Saccharomyces cerevisiae S288C: one gene and its partners. Changing the gene in region 1 together with any one later gene gives a genetic interaction. Each region holds a gene or a part of one and is shown on either strand. Other genes may lie near its edges. The genes, in order: KGD4, DIT2, SST2 and BUD6.

What was found.
Region 2: mutations in KGD4 (region 1) and DIT2 together harm fitness more than expected from each alone (negative genetic interaction), as found in Saccharomyces cerevisiae (2 studies listed by BioGRID).
Region 3: mutations in KGD4 (region 1) and SST2 together harm fitness more than expected from each alone (negative genetic interaction), as found in Saccharomyces cerevisiae (2 studies listed by BioGRID).
Region 4: mutations in KGD4 (region 1) and BUD6 together harm fitness more than expected from each alone (negative genetic interaction), as found in Saccharomyces cerevisiae (2 studies listed by BioGRID).

What each region holds. Positions count from the first base shown.
Region 1 is NC_001138.5:246,481-249,761, reverse strand, and holds KGD4 (alpha-ketoglutarate dehydrogenase subunit KGD4), read right to left. Parts: upstream 1,240-3,281; coding exon 868-1,239; downstream 1-867. Other genes in the region: PRE4 (proteasome core particle subunit beta 7), read left to right, coding at 1-696; RMD8 (Rmd8p), read right to left, coding at 1,628-3,281. UniProt on the Saccharomyces cerevisiae protein: Molecular adapter that is necessary to a form a stable 2-oxoglutarate dehydrogenase enzyme complex (OGDC).
Region 2 is NC_001136.10:1,271,629-1,276,060, forward strand, and holds DIT2 (putative cytochrome P450), read right to left. Parts: upstream 2,076-4,432; coding exon 606-2,075; downstream 1-605. Other genes in the region: URH1 (trifunctional uridine nucleosidase/nicotinamide riboside hydrolase/nicotinic acid riboside hydrolase), read left to right, coding at 1-457; DIT1 (Dit1p), read left to right, coding at 2,974-4,432. UniProt on the Saccharomyces cerevisiae protein: Involved in spore wall maturation. Thought to catalyze the oxidation of tyrosine residues in the formation of LL-dityrosine a precursor of the spore wall.
Region 3 is NC_001144.5:1,038,288-1,043,140, forward strand, and holds SST2 (GTPase-activating protein SST2), read right to left. Parts: upstream 3,080-4,853; coding exon 983-3,079; downstream 1-982. Other genes in the region: leucine-responsive transcriptional regulator LEU3, read left to right, coding at 1-466; RIF2 (Rif2p), read right to left, coding at 3,512-4,699. UniProt on the Saccharomyces cerevisiae protein: Desensitization to alpha-factor pheromone. Is involved in regulating the signaling pathway for responding to mating pheromone.
Region 4 is NC_001144.5:768,711-773,840, reverse strand, and holds BUD6 (formin-mediated actin nucleation enhancer), read left to right. Parts: upstream 1-2,156; coding exon 2,157-4,523; downstream 4,524-5,130. Other genes in the region: MMS22 (Mms22p), read right to left, coding at 1-1,901; EST2 (telomerase reverse transcriptase), read right to left, coding at 4,645-5,130.

The DNA of each region.
Region 1 (3,281 bases):
CAACCAATAGTAACAGGTACTTCCGTCATATCAATGAAATATGATAATGGGGTTATCATTGCAGCAGATAATTTAGGTTCATATGGCTCTCTTCTAAGATTCAATGGCGTGGAGAGGCTTATTCCCGTGGGTGATAACACCGTTGTGGGCATTTCAGGTGATATTTCTGATATGCAACACATTGAGAGATTATTGAAAGATCTAGTCACTGAAAATGCGTATGACAATCCTCTAGCGGATGCTGAAGAAGCGCTCGAACCCAGCTATATTTTTGAATATCTAGCTACCGTCATGTACCAGCGAAGATCAAAGATGAATCCACTTTGGAATGCCATCATTGTTGCTGGTGTACAGTCTAATGGTGATCAATTCCTAAGATACGTAAATCTTCTAGGTGTTACGTATTCGTCTCCCACCTTGGCCACAGGTTTTGGGGCACACATGGCAAACCCACTGTTAAGGAAAGTTGTAGATCGAGAATCTGATATTCCAAAGACCACTGTACAGGTTGCTGAAGAGGCGATCGTAAATGCAATGAGAGTTCTTTATTATAGAGATGCCCGTTCTTCTAGAAACTTCTCACTGGCCATAATTGATAAGAACACAGGTTTAACTTTCAAGAAAAACTTGCAAGTTGAAAACATGAAATGGGACTTCGCCAAGGATATTAAAGGCTACGGTACTCAAAAAATTTAGAAGAGTTTTATCCCACCTTCATTAAATACTCATTTTATTTTTATTTTTCAATTCATAATATCATCACTCTTCTCTCTTCCTAAGTAACTACGTTTTTACATAGATATAATGATATGTGTAAAGAAACTATAAAATAACAAAAAAAAATCATAATATTACTGCATCTATCCTTCACCATGCACCACCGCTATTTATGCTCTCCAATTCATGCTCGTTAATAGGTTTGTACCGAAACCTAGCAGGTAGCTCGAAAATGGAAGCAAGCTCATCTTTTTGCAATGGCCTGTTAACGAATACAGAGGTCTTTGACGAGCTGAGACCAGCATTAGCGCTATGCTTTATTGGCACTACACGGAATGGTTTATAATTTTCCATGAATTTACTCACTGGAATACACTCTTTGCTGCCAGGTAACATTCCGTTGGTAGCGCAAGGATGAACAACGACCTCAGTTGCATGCTTCACTAAGGGATGCCTTGTACCGACGAATTTTATCATCGGCTCATATGCACTCTTTGCTAATCTTATAGGTGTAGCAATCATTTCCCTGTCTTCTTGTACTTTTATCTTACTCTTATTATCGGTTAAAAACCTGGGGAAGTACTCCTTAATGGTTTGCTTTAAAGAATTCAATGCGGCTAGAAATGAAAAAGACTTTTAAGATCACTGAAACACTGCAATCTGGCTAAAATATTAGTCTTCACTATCGTCTTTTTCTCCTTTGTTGATGCGAAAGATGAATTTACATATTCGAGTCCCTTAGTCATATTATTGTACTTTTAATGCAATCTTGAGGGGAGCCAATCAACGAGTGGTTTTACTTGCACGTGACCAAGAATGGTAATAACGGTGAAATATATGACTAAAAACCTTGATAACTAAATATATCATTAATTTATTTTTAATGCCGTCTAGAAGGGTGTATGAATATCTATGTAGAAGTATGACGATGAATAATTACATAACGAACGAAAATCTCTGTTAATGAAAATATAACTCCAAATAAAATGACAAGAATAAACCACCATGTAACACGAGCCATGTTTCTTTCAGCAACAGAGTCAACGCATATATCAAAGAATTCCAAGAAAACTTTGCAACGATCATTTAATACTTGTACTCTTTGGTCAATTTCTAAATACTCCCTCATTGCCACGTACAGTGGATGCAAACTTGGTTCGAACGACCAAAAAAACTCGGGTGTATCCAATATGGTGGATGAAAGGTTAACATCCACTCTCAATTTAAAGAGCTTCCCTGATTTTTTCAAAAGCTGTTCCCTTTTTAACCCAAGGGTACCATATAATGCTAGTCTTTTAGGTAGTTTTGTGACTGATATTAAAATCGGCGAAATTCTGGATTCAAACCTTGATAATTTCGAAGATTGCGCAATCGCATGTGATAGTGTCAGCTCGATAATGTGGTCACCTGAACGTAATGTGACAATATCATTGAAAATTCTCGGTCTCTCGGTATCTCTGTCATATTCGAAATGGAATTGTTCAGTTTCAATATCTTGTTCATCCAGCGGCCGGATCATTAAATTCTTATAATCTGCAAATGTTATATCACCAAGAATATTTTTCTCTTGAATTTCAGTAAAGTTCCAAAAAACAATAACGCCATAGTGAAAAATGAAAATTTCTGCATGTCTATCATTGCCTTCATGGTCGTTGTCCCTATGCATTTTATATACACGATCAAAATCATTCTGTGATGAAGATGGTGGCGATGGCGTAGATATTGATGATGGCGAAGCTGGTGAACGAGAGGACTGTACATACTGATCGTTTCCCTCAACAGCATAAAGTTTACTCTTATCATTATTTTTATTATTATTATCGTTGCCACAACTTGCATCACTGTCGTTTTCCTCCTTCTTCAGCATGTTTATTCTTTCTGTCCTTTCCCGTTTCTCTATCTCTAAGGGAGTTTCTTCCGCAAAAAATTGTGGTTCCATAGGATTAAAAGAGTCTTGCTGACCAACTGGATTTGGTAGATGATCGGGAACTGTTGTGGTGTCTTGATTAGCGTTATTGTTATTTCCACTGGTTTCTAGTTCGTAATTATTATTTGCATCTTCCACAGTTTCCACACCTGAGTAATATTCATAATGATGATCTCTCTGTTCGCTTGTATCAATTAAATTATCAATTAATGTCTTTCCACCCATTGTTTTCTTAGATAAATTTGATTTGATTCTAAAACCGCCTTTACCTGGTAGAAGTGGCAAAGTATACGCAACGTATAGACACTCATCATACAATCTTGGTGAAACCTCATGAGTTTCCTGCAGAAACTTATACAATTGGTTGAGATTGAAGCCATCAGCAACATTATATGCGGTGATTCTTGCCATGGACTTTTCTTTTGAGTATCGAGGTAGCCGATCGAAGGAATTAGACTTCATAGAGCCCACTTTCGGTCTTTGCCTATCCAGCGCGTTCGTTGGTAGAGTTTGAAAGTGGTTCAAGTTGTCGTCTTCCGGTATCAACACTAACTTTTGTGACGTCTTCGATGTTCTTGGAGGCAGGGGATTGATCATCTTTCTACGCGAACTTAACCGCTCATATTGGCGAGGCCTA
Region 2 (4,432 bases), on another chromosome or scaffold:
TCCCGATGTAAAGGACAAATGTATAGTAGTTCCTCTAAATTTAACTCACAAGGCCATAGCTACTTACAAGGTTAACGAAATGATATACAACGAAAAGAATAACAGCAAGTTACGAGAATTGTTTTTGGAGCTTTTTCAATTTTTTGCTCATACCTACAAGGATATGCAAGGATTTGAATCGGGCCCACCTATACATGATCCGGTAGCTTTGATGCCGCTTTTGGAATTTTATGGGTGGGATCCATCGTCTGCGGTTGGATTTCGCTACAAGAGAATGGACATATCCTGCATTGATGATGTTTTCAACGAAAACTCAGGGAAAATTATCATTGAAAAAGAATATCCAAATGACAGTGATGTTGGTACAATAATTGGTCTCGATTTGAATATCCAGTACTTTTGGGATCAGATTTTTGAAGCATTAAATAGAGCAGACAAAATGTCAACGATTGGATAAGAACTTCTATAAAAGGCTTTTTTTTTTTCTACTGACCTTTGGTCAGGTTCTGTTCCTTTCATTTTCACTGGATACAAAGAAGTTTCACTAAAAGTTGTCGCGATTGTATACATATATGCGTATATATACAATTCTACATGTTTTATATTTATTCCATTATATTCTCGTTAAATTTTAACTTTAAATTAAGAGGGCAAAGAGGCCCAGCGGGAGTTAATTTTTCTTCCCATTCAGGGTCAAGACTCCATCGAAACTGTTTCAACATTTCAGCCAAAGAAATTCTCATTTCTGTTAGGGCTAGTTTTTCCCCTAGGCATGCTCTTCGGCCTCCATGGAACCCAGTCACAGCACATCTGTTTTTCGCCATTCTCCAGTTTTTCCTTATGGTTTCGATATCTGAACCCCATCTTTCTGGTTTAAAATCATCTGCTGTTGTGCCCCAAGTTTTGGGATCGTGTGAGGTTCCAAAGTTGTTGTACCCGACATATACGCCCTTGGGTATAACAATTTCCGCCCCCAACTTGCACGTTTTGGTAGTACATCTATTAATAATTGTGCTCAAAGGAGGATACATTCTTACTACTTCGAAGAGAAAAGCATTTAATAAGGGTAAATCTGCTAAGCCTTTTGGATCAGTGATGCCGTTTACTTCCTTCCTGAGTTTCTCTTGCCATTCATTTGAATATTTGGCTAGAAGGTAGAGTGAACTATTAAATAGCAACTGCGGGTTTTCATGGCCAGCGACAAGGATAATGACGATATTATCGGTCAACTGTTTGTAGTCGATTATTTCGTTATTGTGAGCACGAATTAGATCACTGGCAGCAAAAGTAGTTTGTTCAAATTTGTAATTATTGACTAATTCATCTTGAACTCTTTTAACGAGAAGTTCTCTAAAACTAACAACATCCTTGAAGGCTTTTTTTCTTGAAGGAATAGGAAGAACATCAAGGAATGGAAAAGTTAAAAAGAATGGATGAAATATTTGCTTTTTAATACGAATCAAATGCTCGTGGAAAGCATTTTTTTCATGTGTTAGAGCACCAAAATCAAATCCAAGGGCAACCTGTGAAATGTTATCCAATGCCATTCTCTGGGATAAAGGTCCCATAGGGATCGAAGTTTGTCCTTCTAGGAGTCTGTTTTTTATCAAAGTGCATAAAATTTTTGCATTTTTGAATATAGGTGCATCGTCAAAATGTTGGAGCCCGTTTGTCACAGCATTTCTGTAGTTTCTCCAAACTGCACCATACGCGCTAATGACATTGTCCCCTGTGTAAGCGGCAAGAGCACTGTATGGGATTTTCTTTTGATTACCGCTCTTCGCAAAAGTATCTTCATCTTTGAATATTTGTGCTAGATACTCAGAACGAGAAACGAGAATATTCCACCGTGAACCAAAGAAAAATTTTACAGCACCGTATTTTTCCATTGATTCCCTAATATAAAGATCGTATAGCTCCGTTTGATCAATGGGAAATATTACTGGTAAAAATACTACATAAAATGGGATGGTGGGTATATTTTTGGGAAAGTTTAGAGGTGGGACAATGATTGCAAAGGCGACATAGGAAAGAGTAAGAAATAAAATCAAACACAGAAGCTTTAACAACTCCATTTTTAATGCTTTTTTCGATTTATTCTCTTAGTCTGAATCAAATACCATTTTGAAAAAACGAAAATATTTCAAGAAAATTAATGTATTTTTTTGCACTACCTAATATACTATTCGCATCAGGATGACCAGTCATTCCTCTTGTGGTCCGTGGCTTGTAATTTTCGGGAAAGATAGAAATCACTGCATTCATCGAAAGAAGTGAAAATAAATTGTATCGGGGAAGTAATGAGGGGTGGAATACGTAATTGCTTCTCAATTTGATAATACAAGTTACAGTCTTTTTATTGAGAGTCCCTGGAAGGAAAATTATTGATGTTTACCTTTTTTTGCGACGCGCGTCTGGCCATAAATAAAAGGGTTCTCTTGCCAAGAAAAAATAAAAAGGCGCCTTAAGGGACCTTCTATGACAAATATGGTGAGGTATGCAACCTCAATGAAGAGCAATGAGAAAATTTAAGGGGTAAGTAAGCATCGGAATTTGTTGTTTCCTAACAATTTGTCTAATTTACTCAATAATATCAGGAGAATTGATCGAAAAAAGCAAACCAGGAACCCCTCACAAATAAGGGAACATAAAGTAATTGCTCGTCTTTACATACATGGCACTCAATCCCAGACGTCGCGTGCTAAAAATCCTTATATTATTGGCCCCTCAGGAGTTTATTTGAATTTTGATTGCATTGCTTTCAGTGGACAGTATATCATAAAATTTGCAAGGGCATAGTGCCTGCCCTACGATGTTGTAAAACAATTTCTGAAAATAGGTTCAGAATCAAAAATGATGTATAAATATTGAAATAAATTTTCACATAAATTGTGCTCCTCCGCAAAGTCTTGACTAAATAAACAATTTGTTAATATCCTAATTCGGTAAAGCTTTGTCGAGACATTAACAAAAATGACATTTACTAGCAACTTGCCCTCAAGCTCCGAGCAGTCAATATCACCACCTGCCTCTTCATTTTCTTCATCGACTGATACGTTGAAAGATATTGATATTCCCCATAATGGGGCCGATTTGTCTACATATAGTAAATTTCTGGCCCTGTATTGCAGAAGCGACAAATGTGACGATTTTTACTCTTTAGAGGAAAAACAGAATTGTAAATTTGGAGACCAATGGCTCGACTTTATCAACACTATTCACAATCTGGACTTTTCTGAATCCGAAGTAAGTGGACGGGTTTCTGAAAGAATTTTGCCAGCTTCTTTAGCAAATAAATTTACCAATAATTTAGGAGTGGCAATAAAGATTTCTGAATATACACGCGATGACGAACGCCAGATTCGTGGGTGTGTTACAACAGTTGAGAATGAAAATTCTTTCAATAACTGGTTCGTATATCATATTTTAGACCAATCTCAATTATCTCTAAGTGAACATCCAATTGTAACCAAAGAAGTTAAGTATCACGAATTATTTGCAGATTTTTTTGAGAAAAATTTGAAAAACACAATAGTTAATGATCAATGGAATTTTGGTGGCCGTGATTATTTTATTGAACGTTCAAGATATTTTACCGATCGATATTTGAGAATTGAATGCATCTTGCCAGCGTTTCCATGTAAGTCATCTAATGAGCAAAAAGTGTACGGTTCCGTTCCTGACAAAGGCGAAGAACTCGCTTTGAAAAGATTAATAAAAGCCACACAAGACCTTGTCAAGATATATCCACCGGGTATGAAAATTTGGATAGTTAGTGATGGCCATGTTTTCTCCGATTGTATTGGGGTCGATGATGACGTCGTGAGTACTTACACGACCAAATTGCACGAACTGTATAAAAGAGTGGCTATACCTGGTGTTGACGCCATTGGCTTTTGTGGATTGAACGATTTATTTTTTAGCGGTGCAGCTAGTAAAGTTTTCGATCCAAAGTGGGTTAGTGATGTTGAAGTTGCACACTACACAGGAACTCAAATCTGTCCTAAGTCCGATTTGTCGAGACAGATTTTGATGAAAGGCTGTGATACAGATGCAGGTCGTTTGAGAAAGCAGATTGCAATAGAAGGACATCCAAGATTGCATCTGTATAGGGGCTTTTCACGTTTTATGATGGAAGATTTATCTCTACTGGAACATTTCCAAAGTTATTCCAGAAAAAAATTCAAGAAAATCATTTCAATGATCGCTTTTAACATGATTAAGAGAAATGACGCGTATTCGAACTTAGTGGAATTGATATTCCCTCATCATTTGAGAATTTCTATTCATGCGCACACTAACAGCGGGCCCAAATTTGGTATAAAAGTAATCTCCAACGAACAGTGTTCTATTGTTAGTTCGTTAGAAGACCTTGATGAACCCAAATTTGAAGATTTTTTACATATTCCCACACCTTGGCATAATTGTGTCG
Region 3 (4,853 bases), on another chromosome or scaffold:
AATTCCGCTAGACCCAAATCCAATAAATGCAGGCTCTACCAGCAGTGGAAGCTCATTAACGACCCCAAATAGTCAAGTAGCGAACACTATATCATATAGAGGAATCCTCAATAAAATGTCACCTAGGGAACAACTGAATCATGCAAATTTAGATTCCAGTGTTTCTACAGACATCAAGGACACTGAAGCTGTCAATGAACCTCTGCCAATAGGGAGGAATGCTGAACATCCGGCAAATCAACCGCCTCTTTCAATAACACAAATGCAAGAAAACACACTACCTGCGACACAAGCCAACTCTTCTCTATTAGAAACGTATCCCATTGTTCAATCAAACCCCGTTACAACTACAATCAAAGAATCACCCAATTCCATCATGGCAGGTTGGGATAACTGGGAATCTGATATGGTTTGGAGGGATGTTGATATTTTAATGAATGAATTTGCGTTCAATCCCAAGGTTTAAAGTCCTTTTCTTTTTTTGCGTAATGTTTACTTACCCTCGAAAAAATGTTATGTAATGACTGCGGTGCTACAGGAGAGGTAAATGATTTTCTATATACGTTTATATTTCTTCCATTTACGCACACTATTTTTTGTCCTTGAATAATTTAACTCAAAAAAAGTGTAAAAAACTGTGTCATTAGGTATATGTTCAATACTTTTGATCTTCAAATGACGTAAAAAAAAGTTTTCAGACGGACTTAAACCGCCAACCAGCCTTGGCCACAGGTGTATGATGCGAAGATTCGTAAGCGCTCACGTTAGTCACATCTCAGGATTGGAAATTATACTAGATAATAAATGGCTTTATTTAATCATATTATAGTTGATATAACAAATCACACCTCCGCTTAATTTATACGTAATAGTATTTACAGTCCTTATGGGTATCAAGACATATTAGGTTAGGAGAACTAAAGAAAAAAAAAAGGACTGTTTGTGCAATTGTACCTGAAGATGAGTAAGACTCTCAATGAAATTAGCACTTTTCTTGGATTTCTATTAAAGCGCTAGCATCTTTGTATACGTCTGACTGGGTAAATTTTTGAAAGGAATCGTTATTCATCAGTCTATACATTTCATTGCTAACGATCTCGAAGAGGGGATATAATTTCCTGAGGACCTTCAAAGTTGCTGGAAATGATTCAACCGATTTGGTATCATTTTGGGTGTTGTCCATGCCATAACGAACAATTGTATGTGAATTTTCTACTGATGCATTAGGCGAATGCGTTTCTGCCAGAGTTAACGGGGCAGGTTTATATTCCTTTAACTGATGTTTGAATCCTTGCTTCTTAAATGAACAGTTTTCATTTGAAAGATTTTTTGAAGGTTTTAGACTCACTTCAGGTGGTTCACCTAACGTGTCAGCCTCCGTTGAGCTAATTGATGAAGCTGCTGATTCCGCGGATGCAGGTGATGGATCGTATAGATTAGTAGGAAAGTGTTCCGATAATGGAGAATGAGGGTGCAACATGATGTCAGAAATATTCTGACGCAAGTTATGATGGATATTTAATTGATATGGTGATCCTATCATGATATAGGACGAATAAATGTGATATGCCATTTCAAGGCACTCATTGGCCTGTTTCATTAAAGCTGAATCAATCGTTTTTACGATATTGTTTTTTGAAGTACTGGTATTAGATTTTTTATCACAATGCTTAGAATCTATCAATTTTTTCAGAATTGTCATTTTCTTCAAAAACCTCTTAATCTCAATGAAGACATCCAAATTTTCTACACAAAGTTCCTTTTCTAAATGGCGCCTGAATAAATATCTCATACCTGGATCAGTTAGCACATAGTCCAGTTTATTTAAATTACTCGAAGAGATAAGCATGTCTTGAGAAAAACCTTCACTATCATCCAATGTCTTTTTTTCATCACGAACAGTCATATGACCCCTTAATGTGAAATCTAGGTCTATGGTGCTACCATTTGGTGCTCTAATATTATTGCTCTTACAACCTGTCCAAGAAACCAAATCCCAACCACGCTTGGACAAGGTAAAAAAAGAGGACCTGCTAATTTGAAACTTTTTCTTGTCAGTGCGTGATGGTTGTAAAAGAACTGGTACAATCAACCCCGTTTTTAAAAATAACGCTGCCAACGAGACCGCTTCTTTAACATGCATAATATCAGTACAGTCCATTATCCACTGCCATATAGCCTTTGTTGTAAAGGTGTACTTAATCACGATTTTTTTGGAAGTGCCAAACGTCTTATTTTCAAACAACCTAATACCTGCATTCGAAACGTAGTATTGCGTGTGCGACTCAGAATCTGGATTTGTAAAGAATCGATGAGCTAATGGCGATACCCTTTCTAAGTCATTTATATCGATGTTTCCAATCTGAGCTTGCCATCCTTGTTCTGGCTTAGATTTCTCAAAAGTAAATGTATCATCATTATTAGTGTATTCCAACAACGAAGATAGGCAAGGTAATGGGTCATCTGCGTTTGTTGGAGACCAAACATTTGGCTTAGCGCCCATCATTTTAATGAAAAGAATATGGATCAAATAATCACTATGGATGATTGAATCCGTGACAGAGCTTCTCTCAAAAGTGAAAAGTTTCATGGAGTTAAACGATGACAAAAGAATATCAGGCATTGTTTTCAACCCAATATCTCTAACATACTTTTGTAAAACAGCAACTCCCTTAGGTGTTGGTTGGAAAAGAACTTTCTCTTTTGGCTCGCCACGAGTTCTGTCCTGCGGTGTATGTAGTAGCTTAGAAGACATAAATAATGTAAGAAGGTGGCGCGCCAAACTAGGTTTAATATTATATGAAACGTTAATACAAGTTGTGTTCATATCCACTTTTAGTTCCAATTGTCCCATTGCTTTAATAGCTTCCTGATATGTAAAAGTGAAGTGGAAATGTTTAGTGAATGCAGTTAATAAGAAAGACTTAGTGTCACTACTATGTTTTTTCTCTTTCAAATCCAAACAAATTAGAAAAATGGAATATACTGTCTTTAAATCATTGGTAAAGATCAGTCCATTCGGCGTTCTGCTGAAATTTTTGGAAGATAATTCATGCAACGTCCTATTTTTATCCACCATCTTACAACTCTATCTTTAATTACCAAATTGAACCTATAACGCCTCAGATAGTGCGTGCAAAACCTAGAAGGAACGTACGACAGTAACACCTCCAAAGTTAAAGGACGATGAGAAGTAAAGACAGAGCTGGGATTATGATTTCATTCACCGGTATAAATATAACAGGACAGACAACAATTCTAACGCACCAGCAACCAAATCCAAGTCCTAGTCAAAAAAAAAGCAGTATTGGGATCATTGTTTCAAAATTGAATATTATGAAACGTTTAAAACCCAGACATCCCATAATTATTGAAGATGATTCAGTTAAAACTTCGCATACTTCATGGCTTCTTCATTAATAGAGACAACGGAGGTGGTTCAACTTGAACTTTTCCAAAGGAGTTGCCATCTCTTTGTATTGTTCGAACTCTTTCAAAAGACCTTGGTAATTTATCTATCATGTACTTTTCGAGTTAACTTAAGTGGAAGACGCTGGTTTTTCTTAAAGTTATAAGCACTATGTGGGTAATTTTTTATTGTCAGTCTGTTTCTGATCTTATCCAACAATTCATCAAAAGTTCTACTCTGGACTATAATCTCAGTGTAAGCGTTAAACAAATAGGTAAAAGGGTGCGGAAAGACCTTCAAAAATTCGAAAAAGATTGCTAAGTTGGATTCTTTATTATTCAACTGGCATGTGACAAGCGAGTTGTAAGACTGTAATAACTTGCTTCCGGAATCAAAGGTAAACTTTATCATTTTTTTCAAATATTCTTGTTCTTGAGCGCATGTTAATATCGGCATCTCAAACACAGTATATTTTGTGTTGAGTTTCTTTTTGAGGGATGTCGATAGGAGAGACGAAATGCTAACGTTATTTGAATAAATGAGGACCTTAAATGCAATGTTATTACTTTTTTCAAGTACCGATAAAACATTGATAAATTCGGTAAGCTTCGAAGGTTCTATTATAGTTGAAGTAGATAATTTATCTAATTGTTCGAATTTGAAGTAGACAATATGATCGATACTTTCGTCATTATTTATTTTCCTCATAACCATCATCATTAGGTCAGACGTGTGATTTGAAGGTTTTTCACTAGCTTCGAAATCTAGTTGTCCGCTATATGAAGCCTGCCCCATTGACTCGATACATTCTTTTGATTTGCTTGATTGAATACCCTCTTTCATTAAGTAGTCATTCATTTCTATAATTACGACATTTATATCGACTAAAGACAGTGTTTCTGAAACTGCACGGTCGATACCAGCATATTGGTGTATATGTTCAACTTTGTCGAAGAAAACGATACAATTTTTCATACTCCTAAGATTTTTTGAAAGAAACTTACTTAAGCTCGGAACGTAGCTTATTGACAAATAATTGGTGCCTAGCTCTTGCAAGGCCATTGATTTGAACTTCTGGTAGAAAACATGGTCCACTCGCTCCTTAACTGGACTCGGCTTACACACCTTTGGGCTGCTAACACTTTTTTTAATTGGAACAAGGTTCAACTTTCTCAGTACAGTAAAATTTTTTTGCTCCAAATCATCGCTTATTGCTTTCACAATCTTGTCACTGTCAACAACCTTTTTCGATCTCCTTATAGGTGCAAAATCGGAATCTACATGCTCCATTGTCTCTATATACTAACCACGTTCGTATTTATATCTATATTCGTACATATATTGTTCTAACTTATTGAAATTGATGGTTAAGAAGATCCCTTCTGTACATATCTGTAAGCGCAATGTTTTCTTCATTGAAAACAGCTGCAAAATTAGAAAACTA
Region 4 (5,130 bases), on another chromosome or scaffold:
TCAGTGATACCTTTATCAATGATTACTCTGAATATTTTCTGTAATGATGTAGCTATATCTGCAGGATTCAATTTTGATAGCAAGAAACTCTTGTCTGACAACTGGATCTTGAAGAAATTAGGTGGCTCAAAAGGTTTTTTTAGTAAAATTGAGTCAAGTACGACCATTATTGGTCCAAGCTCTTGATTGGAGTCTTCTTCCTCAAATTCCATGTCATGATTAATGCTGTCCCTATTACGTACATTTGGCTTTGTGAAAGCGTATCGGTTCGTGGGAACCTCTACAACAGTATTGAAAACTGGTTTTCGTCTCGATTCAAGATCAGCGGAGAAACTTGAGTATATAGGTGCTTTCTTCTTCCTTCTTTTTTTCTGTGGCTTGAGAGAAGAGCTGTCATCCTGTTCTAGGGATTGAGATTCTAATTCTTCAAAAAAATAATCATCAATTACATGATTCTTCTTAGAAACAAATGAAACTGGATTATTAGCTGCCAAATGAGATTTATGCGCTGACCGTTTTCCGACTTTGATAGCTTTTGTACTTGGGGCCAGACAAGAATTTCGATATTTGTACTTATATCTTCTCACTCTCTTACTTTTTGTATTCAAAAAGTTGGCATCATTGGTTGCTTTAATTCTTTTAGGTTTAACCAACATCTTGTCAATTATACCATCGTTATGCTCTTCAGCAGCATCTAGGGAAATTACACTTTGATTATCTTCGGCAGATATATTGTATTGCTCACTAAATCCGCTATCTGAATGCCGTGAATTCAAATAAATAATAGGCTGGTCTTTATAAGACACATGTGATATGCAGCTCCCCGGTCCGTCATATTCCAGCTCATACACTGGTTCATTGCGGTATTCCTCATTTAAATTAAAACCAGAAGTTCCAGCCGATTGTGCGTCTTCACTATACTTGCTCTCATAATATTCTTGCAATTCCTTTAATTCCTTTTCGTTAGCCTCACGATCCTCTGGAAGATTTCCTAAGTATATATCTGGAGGGGCGTTTTCCTCGATATCCAGTTCGTCATCAGGTGCAATAAGATCGTTCAATAAGTTCTGTTCTTCATCTTCAATATGGGCGCTTCTGTTCATTTTCCTCTTAGCCACACCCTTATGGTTCAATAATTGAGTTTTTCTTTTCGTGACTTTTGAAGACTGCTGCTTTTGCAACGACTTTTCCCAAGCAACTCTTGGCAGGACCCCACGGTAACCAGTTCTTACATTCAATACTCTTCCTCTAAATATTACTTCGTCATTTTGAGTATTCTGTAAATTTGTACTAGCCAAGTCTTGTTCATCTTCCGTAGAATCACCTGATTGAAATACTATATCCTGGTCGAGGTCTTTAAAAGTACGATGCCTTTTCTTTGGTATTTCTTCATCACTATCATATCTTTGAGATTGAACCGAGCTGTTTTCGGGTTTAATGGAGTCGATTGTAACATCTTTCTGCTCATCTAAGGGTTTACCAGTTCTCTTTGTAAGTAAAATATCATTTGAGTGAATCACTGTAGAAGCGTTCTTCGGTAAGGTCAACTGATTCGAAATGCTGTCAAAACTAGAGATATCATAGCCCTCTAGCAACTGCCTATGCTTTATGCGTTCTAAACTGTATGGCATCTTTTGAATAGCCTTCCTCTTCCTCAAAGACCACCGAAGCCCCGTAGTAACTTGTGTATCAGTTACTACGGAAGGAGTACAAGATTCTCCAGCAGTGGAATCCAGGCTCAACCTCTCAGTGACAATTTTCTGTGATCTGCTTGCTTCTTGGACGTTTTCCTCTGCCCATAAATAATTTTCATTGAATTCGGGTTCGTATATGATACTAATTTCCTCATCAGTGGCCTCAGAATCTGATATCACAATAGGATTCGGTTCATCAACATCCATAAGCTTATCTGCTGACGCTACCACTAAACTTCAAATCTACAATCCTATCTTTTATTCTTTCACTTCTTGAATTTAATTTTACACGCAGATGCGCTTTACTCTTTGAAGATATCTCGCTAGCCGAGCTGAACGAATTTTATCCTACTATTATGCATTCTTGAGATAATGGCATCAAAACAAACCCAAGAAAAGGGAAAAAGAGTAGAAGCTGGCTGCCAAATTGGTGTAGTAATCCTCGTATTATTTTAAAATTAGATGAAGATGGCCGTGGATGACCCTACGTATGGCACCCCAAAGATTAAAAGAACTGCTTCTAGCAGTAGTAGTATTGAAACGACAGTAACAAAGTTGCTGATGTCCACCAAGCACCTCCTCCAGGTCTTAACACAATGGTCTAAGGGGACAACCTCTGGAAGATTAGTATCTGATGCATACGTTCAGTTGGGCAATGACTTCAAAGTCGTATCGAAATTCTTCATGCATGCGAAAGTTGACATGTCAGATGTTGGTGATGTGCCAATGGCTTTAAGACGTGTATTGGAAGTGACATTGAGGGAACCACCATCTGATGAAACTTTAAATAAACATCTGCCAAAAATCAGAGAGATTATAGTGACACTTTTAGACAAACTAAAGGTTAAACAAGCAATTTTGAAGAATATGCAGCAAGAGCATCGGATAAGTGTAAAATCACATCATCAACAAAACCCTTCCTTTACTAGTAACCTTTCATTGGGTAGTGAAGGGACCCGTGAGGGGACTCCATTAAGTAGCAGAAAAAGCAGTATTGTACGTGATCAGAGGCAAAGCGATTCAGTCGAAAACAGCTATGGGGAAAAAGTGAATTCTACTTCTACGGGAACACCCTCTGCTCAGTCAGCAGAGGCAACATTGACAAAACCAAGAACTAATATTAAACAAAACCTTAAATCTAACAATGCTCCAAACGCATCTGATGATGATGATGCACTTTCACAATTGAAGAAGGGAACTAATTTACAAAGGAGAGCCTCAAAGAGATACTCTGCCTACCATATGGCTAAATTGACAAATCAGTCTACAACAGAAGCTGCTGCGGCTGCCGGCCTCATGACAACTCCTTCACCCTCGATGTTGCATCTAGAGGAAACCGTAAGAAAGTCAAAGTTATACGGAAATAACAACAATGATGATGATAGAAACATTAATTCAGCTGAAAATAAGGGTAAAAGCATTGACGATGTATCAAAGGCGAGTCCATTGGCGAAAACGCCATTGCCTATTGAGAATGTTCGTGCATCTCCACGAAGATTATCAAGCGTTGTTACAACTTCGCCAGATAAAGCCATGAATGGAACTTGTCCAGTATTTTTAAGGATAGGAGACAAAACAAAGAAGTGTCATGTGCAACTGCCTACTACAAAAAACGCATTAAGGCTCCTATTTATTGAGCGCTTTGCGTATTCTCCTGGAGCAAATTCCTTCCCAGACATATATATTATGGATCCTCAATATGGAGTATTCTATGAATTAGAGGAACTAAATCTTCTCGATATTAAAGAAGGGTTTGTTATCGAGCTAAAGCTCGAAGAGAATCCAAATAATACGATCAAGGAATTCATTGACACAGTTAAGATGGAGATATCGAATAGTCAGAATGATATAATAAGACATTTAAAAGAAATGAGTTTTGGTTCTGCAATTAGCGGCAAGCAAACGGAAGTTTTACCACAACCTGGCCTTGAAGCTAACAAACACGATCTTGTGGGGCAAAACAAAAAAGATGATGATAAAACGATCAAAGATATTCAGTACGAATTGGGGAAAATAAAACAAGTGCATAATATTAATAGGTCAAATATTAATGAGACTATTTTCAACATTTTACGAAAGGTCGATAACTTTAAGTCTTTATCATTTTCTGCCAAAAACTCTTCCAACAGAATGTACATGGAAAAATCACAGACCGAACTCGGTGATTTATCCGATACTCTGCTAAGTAAAGTAGATGATTTGCAAGATGTAATCGAAATTATGAGGAAAGACGTTGCTGAGCGTAGGTCTCAGCCCGCTAAAAAGAAGCTAGAAACCGTATCCAAGGATTTAGAAAATGCCCAAGCAGATGTACTTAAACTACAGGAGTTTATTGATACTGAAAAACCACATTGGAAAAAAACTTGGGAAGCTGAGCTCGATAAGGTCTGTGAAGAACAACAGTTTCTCACGTTGCAGGAAGAGTTGATTTTAGATTTGAAGGAAGACTTGGGTAAGGCATTAGAAACTTTCGATCTTATTAAGTTATGTTGTGAAGAACAAGAAAAAAACCCTTCGAGATCAAAAAGTAATCCTATTTTGCCTATTATGAGACCGGGCACATTTAATCAGGTAAGGGAGCAAGTTATGGTGGCCGTCCAATCTTTAAACCCTGACCACGATAGTAGGGTCGAAGCTATTGACAAGGCTGAGAAGATGTGGGAGATGGAAAGAAAACTTAAAGCTAGTAATGAATTTGATGATGAACTGGAAAATTTTGTGGGTAATTCAAACCTGAAAAAATCGGGAGGCTTTGAAGAAGTAGAAAGGATAAGAAAGCAGAAGGATGAAGCAAATTTGAGAGCATATTTTGGGCCGGGGTTTACTTAAATACACTAATTTTATGAAAGCTAACGGAAAAGAGATTAGTGCTTTTGGCTTATTACAAAGTTTGCGGCAATATTTTCCTTATCAGCATCATAAGCTGTCAGTATTTCATGTATTATTAGTACTAATTAACTATATGTATATATATATATATATATGCTTGCAAGTGTTGAATTTCCTTTCTCAAAAGAATGATATTATCTTTAAATTTTGATGTGTTTGAAGATAGGCTTTCCAAAAATCCATTCAATATGGTGAATCGTACCTCATACTCGATTAAAGGATCACATTTCGTAATTGGACAACCGCTGACTGTCATTTCAATGATGCGTTGTAAGAACGAATGAAATTGCATATTTTGCGTAACATTAATTGATAGATCCTTAAAAGCAGATTTATAACATTCCGAAATGTTCTTTACAACATGATCAATTTGCATGAGAACGGTGTTTGTTGAATTTAAATTTGTGTCAATTGTTTTATAAGAGATTCTAGTGTTAAACAGCGCTATTAAACTTCGAAATATCCCTTTACTAGATTTCGAACGGATATGGAAATTATTCATTGTGCTTGAATGTTTCCAAACTTCCAATTCTTTAACAAATATGTG